Ovis aries: one gene and its partner. The protein of the gene in region 1 interacts with the protein of each later gene in a pairwise test. Links are inferred from orthologs where the notes say so. Each region holds a gene or a part of one and is shown on either strand. Other genes may lie near its edges. The genes, in order: LRP1 and MAPK8IP1.

Region 1 (3,798 bases):
GTTGTTCCCTCATCTGGGGCCACCTAGCTGGGTTTTCTGGGTGCTGGCATCAGACGCAGAAGGCGCAGCTGAGGGGAGTGGGGTTGGCTGCGGGCTCTAAGCAGATTACAGGTTTCCGACCCCACCCCCACTGCAACACCCTCCACCTCCAAATGAGGCTTCCCTTGGCCCGTGTAGACTGCCCCAAAGTAGGTTATTTGTTCCTTTCCTCCCCTTTCCCTAAGAAGGAAATCAAAGACAGGCCTTAGCCTTCAAACTCAGGTCTTTTCTCCACCATCCCTGACAGAAAGGAAGTGCTTCCTGCATCTCTTAGGTCCTTGTGCTGCCCTGGTGTGCGCCCAGTCACCCGCCCCGGCCGGAGGGGTCTGCTGTGGGCCAGGGCCTCAGGGGCTCCTCTTCCTTTCACTCCCCATCCCCCACTCCCCTCCCTCGCAAAAGCACATCTGGTTTGTGAATCTCTCTCATTCCAGCTTTTGGAGTTTGCCAGCTGCTGTTTCCTCTGTCGAGCTCAGGCCAAAAATGGGGGTGGGGGACAGCAAGGGGACAAAGTGAGAAAGTGAGGGCCAAAGCAGGGGGGGATCGTGGCTGGGATGTGGAATAGAGGGGAGATTGGAGTGACCAACCAGTGACCTCGGGCCTGGGCTGTGAGTTCTACCCGGCGAGGAGTGGGGGCATGGACTGCTAAATCCAGGTGGGGGCAGGGATGGGCATGGGGACCTGTCTGGGCTCCAAACAGCCCATCTGCCTCTGAATCCCATTCCAGCCCCCTCTACCACCGCTCTCCCCCGCCAACCCCAGCCCATCTCGGCCAGCCAGGGGAAGAGGACCGTTCTCCGGCATGCTAACTAGGCTGCCTAGCAGTTTCCCGGGAAGACCTCACAGCTGGCCCAGTGGGGCAATGAACTCAGCATTATCCGCCTCCTCAAGGGGCCTTTATTCCCTGCTCAGGGTGGGGGGGCAGGGGAGGGGGCTCCAGGGTGGGGGGCCTAGCCAGGCCATCCTTGATGTGTTTCCTGAACTTGGCTCTCACCCTGGCCGGCGGCCTGAGTGCAGTCCCCGCTGCCAGAGGCGGGGGTTGAGGGGAGGACGTCTTCCCAGTGTGGCTCTCCTCAGAGCCCATCCCTCCCTGCTCAGAGCCCCGGCACACTTTCTTCTGCTCCGTCCCAGCCCTGAGCTCACTCTGCCCTGCGGTCTTCCTGGGGCGCCATGGCTCCTGAGGGGCCACCCCACCCCTCCTGGGCACCCCAGTGCCTCATTTACTGCCTGGCACAGAGCTGGGCTCTGGTGCATGACAGCCGAAGAGAAACGGGATGGACGCAGATCGAGGAAGAGGCAATGCAGGGCTGGGAGACTGGGGGGCAGCAGTGAAGGAGGTGGGGCTTGCCTCCCTCCCGAGGAGGACATGCTGACAGGGTTGGGAGGAATAGCGCCTGAAGACCTCTCAGTGGAAATGGGGAGCCTGGTGTCAACTGGCTGCTTCACAGCTTAGAGTCGGCTAAACCGGTCTAAGTCCTGATTGCGACATTTGGCTGCTGTGTGACCCCACATCCTCTGAGGCTGGGTTTCCTCATCTGGGAAATAGTATTACTCGTACCTAATTTGTCATATTGTGGAGAGGATTGAATGCGATGATATATGGAAAGAACTGGTTGATCACACTTCCCGGCACATACTGAGGTAACAATGAGAGTTAGTGTTACCATGTTTAATTCATCCCTGGAGAATGAGGTAAGAGAATGGGGTGGGTGTAGAGAGCAGATGGTGGGGTGAGGGATTAGGGCAAAGAAGAGGTCCTGGATATAGGAACTTCTTGGGTTGGCTGGTCTGAAACCAGCTCCTGCAGGTCACCCCAGCCATCCCCCTGCCTCGGCTCTCCAGCCCTGTCGGCTTGAGCAGTCTTAGGTACCTATTAACTCTGAGGGCATCCGCAAGGGAGACTGTTTAGAGAATGGATGTGGAGGCAGAACTCCTCTGTTGATGCCATCTCTGAGACACCCATGTGCCAAGGGCACCCCAAACACACGTCCCGTCTGGGGAGGGCCTGGTGGTTAGGAGTTGGAGATGTGTGGGGTGATGTGTTCCAAGGACCAGGAGTGTCCCAGAGGGTGAAGGAGCAGAGAGGTTAGTAAAGACCAGCTCTGGACCTCTAGTGGGATGGAGAAGATAAAGAGAAAACCTGTCAAAAACCTAAATGCCCCATCACTCTCAGTCAGCAGAGTGGAGGCTGCTGTGGTCTGACCAGAGTATCAGAGAACACAAGGGCTTTGGTCCTGAGAGCTGGGAGAGCACACACCCAATGGGCAGCCTACAGGAGTCAGTCAGGCGGCAGCAGTGTGCTTCCTGCGTCCTTCCCCTCCCCCATCTCAGGTACACAGTGTTCAGAAGTGACCCCCAGCCCCTCCCTCCCACCCCTGCTCCACACATGAAGCTTGGGTTAGAGCCTGGGCCGGATGGAGACTGCTACTGCCTGAAGAAGGAGGAGGAACCCTTGAGGGCTTTCAGACTGTAGAGCGGCCTCCACCCCTATTCACACCCCTGTTTTCTTCCCTTGGCCCTAGTCCCTAAGACTTGCAGCCCCAAGCAATTTGCCTGCAGAGACCAGATCACCTGCATCTCAAAAGGCTGGCGGTGTGATGGTGAGAGGGACTGCCCGGATGGATCTGACGAGGCTCCCGAGATTTGTAAGTACCTTTTCTAAATCCCTACCCCCATCGCTGATTTTTCCCTTTTCCTTTTGGCCCAGCAGTCTACGATGAAGACAGTTGAGCTTGAGCCTGGTGTGGACCTTGCTCTGTGATTGTTTGTACATGACACAGCTAAAACTGTCCAACTGTCCTCCCCCTGCTCTTCAAAGAGCCCGGCCAGGTGTTTGGTATGCTCAAAAATGAGCTTCCTCAGCTGCTGTACCCGCCCCCAACCCCAGCCTCCCTGAGACCATATTCTCTGGGCTGACAGCTTTGCTGGAAGGTTCCCCTCCCTTCTTTCTGGCTCCTTCCGCTTCTTCCCACCTCTGAGCCTCCTGATCCTTGATGGGTGCCCCTGGGCCTTGCTGGGTCCCCTTCCTGTCCTCAGGTTCCCAGGCCAAAGGCCACTGGCTCTGGCTCAATCTCTGTACCAGAAGCCCCACCCCTGAGCATTTCCCGCCCTCCTCCCTCCCCCTACCCTCAGTAAGTGGTGTAATCAGAGGCAGCTGTTTAAACTGGGAGAAAGGTCCCCACCCAGCCTTTACCCTGCCAGTGGGGGGTGGAGAACTTGCTGGCGGGACCCTGGAGTCCTGGGCAGCTGGCAAAGTCTCCGCCTTCAGAGCCTCTCCCTTGCTGGGGTAGTCTGGGCAGGGGTCTGGGGACCCTGCATTCTTAGGTCTTTCTCCGTTCTCTGTTGGGGTTTATCATGTCCCAGCCCCATCTCCACACCCTCACTCATAATTATTAGCGGTAATTTTAGGGCCAGAAAAGGAAACCACTAGTTCTCTCTGCCTCACCTTGATACCCTGCTCTGGAGGTGTGGGATCCAGGGACATTCTACAAGCGTTTCTATGGTGGCTCAGCCTGGAGTGTCTGCTCGTCTCAGGCCACCTTTATGCCCCACTTTTCGGACCCCAGTGTTTGGTGTTGAAGATCAAGAAAGCCATGCAGAGGGGCCAGATCTGGCTCTTTTTATCCATCCTTTAGTTAGATGCAGATATACATATCCCCTCACTGTCCCCACTCGTGCACATTCCTAGACCCATCACACTCACACTTAGCTGCTCCCGGGGCCTGACTCACTCCCCCTACCCTGCCGACATACACACACAGA
Region 2 (4,545 bases), on another chromosome or scaffold:
CACTAAGGAAAAATTATTAGCCACTGTGGCAAAACTGCTTTCCTGGGAGGAAAAGTCAGCACCATAGCAGCAAGCGGTTACCTTTTGGTCCTAGTGAAAGGAGCCTGAACCAAGACAGGAAAGATTATGTGTCCCCTCTGGGCCCAGGAACACGGAGAAGAGAAGTAGCAAAGGCCTTCAGCTCTAGGTATTAACCTCAGAAGTGGAGCTCAGGGCTTGTTGGCTGCAGGGCAGGTGCCCACTGCTCCTTTCTGGGCACTACGCTGTAGGCGCAACCAGTGGGCAGTCTAGATTTGCACATAGGCTTCCACAGCTGTGAAACAGTGCCTTTTCAGAAGGACAGGACCTCTGCGGCTCTCTCAACTAGCCATACAAGCCAGTGAGATTTGGCAGAGGCTCTATGACCCACCAGAGCTGGGGACCTTGCTGTGCCCAGCAGCCTGAGTGCCCAGAAGTCCATGTGCTGTGAGAGAACACACAGGCTTAATCCTCTTAGGGGAGAGAAGTCCAGGAGGAACCATGACCCGGAGTTGCAGGGCAGAGGCACTGGAGGGAGCCGAAAAACCATCAAAAGAATCCCTAGAAGTCAACTGTAGGGGCAGGAGGAAAGGCCCCAAGTCTTAGAATGTGAGAAGCCTGCTATGGGGTGTCTGAGTGCAAAAGGGGGTGCTCTGCAGGAAATACAATTGAGGTGCTAAGTGAGGAGAAGGTGACGTCAAAGTCCTGACATGAGGGAGGAGAAGCTGAGAGAAGCCAAAAGGAAAGGCTCAATTCACCATTAGAAGTGTTTGGGGCTGAAAGGGGCTTAAATCACTCTTTAGAGAGGAGACCCTCGGCAGAGTCCTTGGGTGGAGTGGGGGGGGGGAGTCCCCTCAAGGGGTGAGCCCTGGTTCCCAGCTGGAGGTGGGGTGTTCCCAGCCTCCAGTGCCAACATTTGTATTATATTTCATCCTCACGACCATGAGATGGACCATTATCATCCCCATTTCACAGATGAGAAAAAAATCAAGCCTTAGGACTGTTGTAACTAATGTGAAGTCACACCACCTATTCTACTAGGAGAGCCGGGCTGTGACTTCACCCTACCTCACTCCAAAAATCTGTCGGTCCTAGGAGCCAGCATCCAACACCCGCTAGTGTTTCTCTGCCTTCCTCCACGACTCTCCTTTCCTGACTGCCTTCTTTGTCTGCAGCGAGGGGGTCAACTCGGGTCCCAGGGACCAAGATCCCGCCATTAGTTACTGCATACCCGGACGCTAGGCCCACCCCAGGAAGAGAGCCCGCAGGGACACAGAGGGCTTTGCGGAAGGGGAGGCTGTTATTACTGCGTGGGATTGAGGGCGGGGCGGAGCCAAACTCGGGGACCGCGGGGCTGCGACTTCAGCACCTTGGAGAGCGCAGCAGGGGCGGGGCTCCCGGGTAAGGGGCGGGGCGGGGCGGGGCATACCCAAGCCTGGCCGAGGACCCGGGAGCGCGCTCGGAGGCGCTCGCGCCAGTCCCGAGAGCGGCGCGCGGTCTGGAGCCGCGCCCTGCCCTGCGCAGGTGCGCCCGCCGCGCAGTCCCCAGCCGATCCCCGCGGCGGCGGCCTCTCGCCGCGCCCGCGCCTCCTTCCCCGCCGCCGCCGCCGCCGCCGCCTCCGCGCCGCGCTCCGCCCGGATGGCCAGGGCTGTGCGGGAGAATGGCGGAGCGAGAGAGCGGCGGCCTGGGCGGGGGGGCTGCGTCCCCGCCTGCCGCCTCCCCGTTCCTGGGGCTGCACATCGCGTCGCCGCCCAATTTCAGGTGAGGCTCTCCGGCCGCCGCGCCCCACCCTTCAACCTAAATCGATCTGCCCGGGCTCCCCCCACCCCGCACCCGCCTCGCAACACGCACTCATGGGAAACCGCAGAACGAGAGGGCGGCGTGGGGATGGGGTCTCTTCCCGAATCCTCGTCAGCCTCAAGTCTAGACTCATGGCCGATGCATATCCGCGGTGCGGCTCTCTCCGCCATTCCGTGTCCGAGGCGAGGAGATCCTGAGCTGGAACTGGAGGAGGGGGCGCGGAGGCCGCCTTCTCTCCGACTTTGGAGCTGCGGCGGGGTCTGGGGTCCGCGTTGAGGTCCCGCAGGAGGCAGGAAGCCTGGGGCTTTGCCTGCGCACAGTCGGAAGGCTCCTGAATAGAGGATGACACTAGGTTGGGGTGCCCCTCGGGTCCCAGTTTCTTGGGGCGACCGACAGCCTTGGTGCTAGAGAGAGTCGCAGGCCCCTCCCCCAGCCCTGCCTGGCCAGAGGGGCCCAACTCCCAGGCCTGGCGTGGCCAGGACCTTCTGTGCATTGGGACAAGCACTGACCTGGTCAGATGCGTGTAGGTGCCGAACGAAGGCTCAGCCTCAACCCGCGAGATCGAGGCCCGGCTGTGGGAGGGGGAGTCTGGGTTGGAGCCCGCGGGAGTAGCCACGGTTATTGGTGGGGTGGTTCCTGCTGGGGTGAGTACCCTGGATCCTGATCTGAGCTCCTGCTTCAGCTCTCTCCATGCCCCTAGTCTGGCCTTAGGCAACTGGGAGGTGGATTTCAGAGAGGTGGCAGTGGGTGTTGTGGGGGTTGGGATGGACGTCCCTCCGTCCTCATCCTGGCGGGTTGGAGAGGAAGAGGAGGAGGGGTTACCGCTCCCGAGCCCCCAGAAAGAGGCCTCCATTCCCCATTGTTCCTCCATGTAATGAGCTGGTGTCTGCCCCTCTCCTGGGGCCTGCACCCGCGCCGGGCCCCAGCTGGGCTCTGGCGCCAGCCCCTCTTCTTGACCAAGGGGTTTCTGGCTCCCCGGCCCTCAGGTGGGCAGGGGCCTCCAGGGATCGCTAACGGCATCATCTTTAGGACTGGAAATCTCCCAGAAGGCCCGGAGCTGAGCTGCCAAAGACCAGATGGAGAAGGCCGGGCTCCAGGGCTGGGGGCTTTGTGGTTCGAGCCTCAGAGTAAGGAGGCCGAGGTCTGAGACTCACTCCACCGGAGGTGAACTGCGCTGCCTTCCCACCAGCGCTGCCCTCCTTCCAGGAGGCCCCTCTGTGGTGGCTGAGCACAGCCCTGAGACAGACGTGGATGCGAATCCTGGCTCCACCAACTTTCTAGCTGCCTGACCTGGGCAGCTCTTTGGGCTTTCCTCAGTCTCATCTGTTGATGAGCTAATTCATATTGATTCCTTCAGGTGCATCACGCTGGCACTCAACAAGCATCACCCTCCACACCGGCGGGCGCTGAGGCGGCTCATTCCTGCTCGGGGCATGTTCCCGGGGCTGGCTGAGGTCTCCCTCCCCACCACTCTGGGCGTCAGGATGGGCCTGCCCATTTTGTAGATGAGAAGACTGAGGTTCAGGAAGGCGGGTGGCTTCCCCGAGGGGAGTCAGGGCCTGAGGCTGCGTGTTCAGTCCACTCTACCTTCAGGCCCAGCCTGACCCGGAGGACAGCTTGGCCTCCCCACCTGCTTTCCCCTCCGCAGGTGAGAGGGCTTTCCGTCCCTGCTGCCCCCGGCGGGCAGGTTATCCTGGACTCCTGAGGGACAGCGACTGATAAGGAGGGCCCGCCAGTGAGTGTGCCCAGCCCTGGGCCCGGTGGGCCAGGGTGGCACTGTGCCAAGGCTGAGTGTGGGTTGGCCCTCCGGGACACCATGGCCTGGCTGTGGAGATGTGAACAGTAAGGCCAGTGTCTCTGGCCCCGAGGCCTGCCCTGCCGGCTCCAGCAGCCCCCGCTGCCCTTTCCCTGGCCGCCTCTCACAGTTCTGAGCTCGGCTGATGGAGCCCGGGTGGGACTGCGCCCCTGTGGCTCTGGCCTGGCTTTGAATCCTGGCTCCGTCCCTTTAGCCGCATGCTCAGAGTGGGTGCCGAATGCCTTGGGCTGGTTTTTTCTCCATGATGCCTACTTTGGCCCTTGCTCAGGGCGGCCCTAATACTTGGATGAAACAATACATGTTGAGTGTTTCAAGGGCTGTGAAGAGCTGTATTCATGTCGGGCTATTCCTGTGGGTATTATTGTGTGTGTGTGTGTGCACGTGTATGTGCATGCGTGCGTGTGTGCGTGTGACCCAGCACCACTGTCCACTTCCAGAAGGCACAAGACGTCAATACCTAAACTTTGGTTTGCCTGAAGCCCGGCACAGAGTAGGTGTGCAGTGCTTTACTATTTAACCGGGGATGCAACTGGAGAGTTCAGAGAAGAACGCTGGAAACCCTGCCACTTGGGAGGCCTTTGCTCTGCCCAGGCGCCGTTCTAAGCACTTTCTGTGCAAGGGCGCCTCGTCCTGCCCAGAACCACACAGACAGAATCTTGTCGTTATCCCCACTTTGCAGATGAAGAAACTGAGACGGGAAGAGGTTGGATAAGTGGCAGAGGTCAAGTTCACAGCCACCCCAGAAAGAGAGGGCCCAGAGGGATAACGATGGAGAGTTTGGGGAGGGGGACACAGGTGTGGCTCTGAGGAGGGCGAGCATTTATTTGGTGAGAGTTGGTGTAAATAAACCTTTTTTTTTCTGATTCTAGAAATGCTCCAACCAGTTACTAGTAATTACCTTTGACTCCAGT

The links.
Region 2: the proteins of LRP1 (region 1) and MAPK8IP1 interact in a two-hybrid assay, tested with the Homo sapiens proteins (2 studies listed by BioGRID). The link is inferred for Ovis aries from reciprocal best matches to the Homo sapiens genes LRP1 and MAPK8IP1.

What each region holds. Positions count from the first base shown.
Region 1 is NC_056056.1:162,479,610-162,483,407, reverse strand, and holds part of LRP1 (prolow-density lipoprotein receptor-related protein 1), read left to right. Parts: intron 1-2,558; coding exon 2,559-2,681; intron 2,682-3,798. UniProt on the Homo sapiens protein: Endocytic receptor involved in endocytosis and in phagocytosis of apoptotic cells. Required for early embryonic development. Involved in cellular lipid homeostasis.
Region 2 is NC_056068.1:74,845,254-74,849,798, forward strand, and holds the start of MAPK8IP1 (C-Jun-amino-terminal kinase-interacting protein 1), read left to right. Parts: upstream 1-1,557; 5' UTR 1,558-1,678; coding exon 1,679-1,779; intron 1,780-4,545. UniProt on the Homo sapiens protein: The JNK-interacting protein (JIP) group of scaffold proteins selectively mediates JNK signaling by aggregating specific components of the MAPK cascade to form a functional JNK signaling module. Required for JNK activation in response to excitotoxic stress.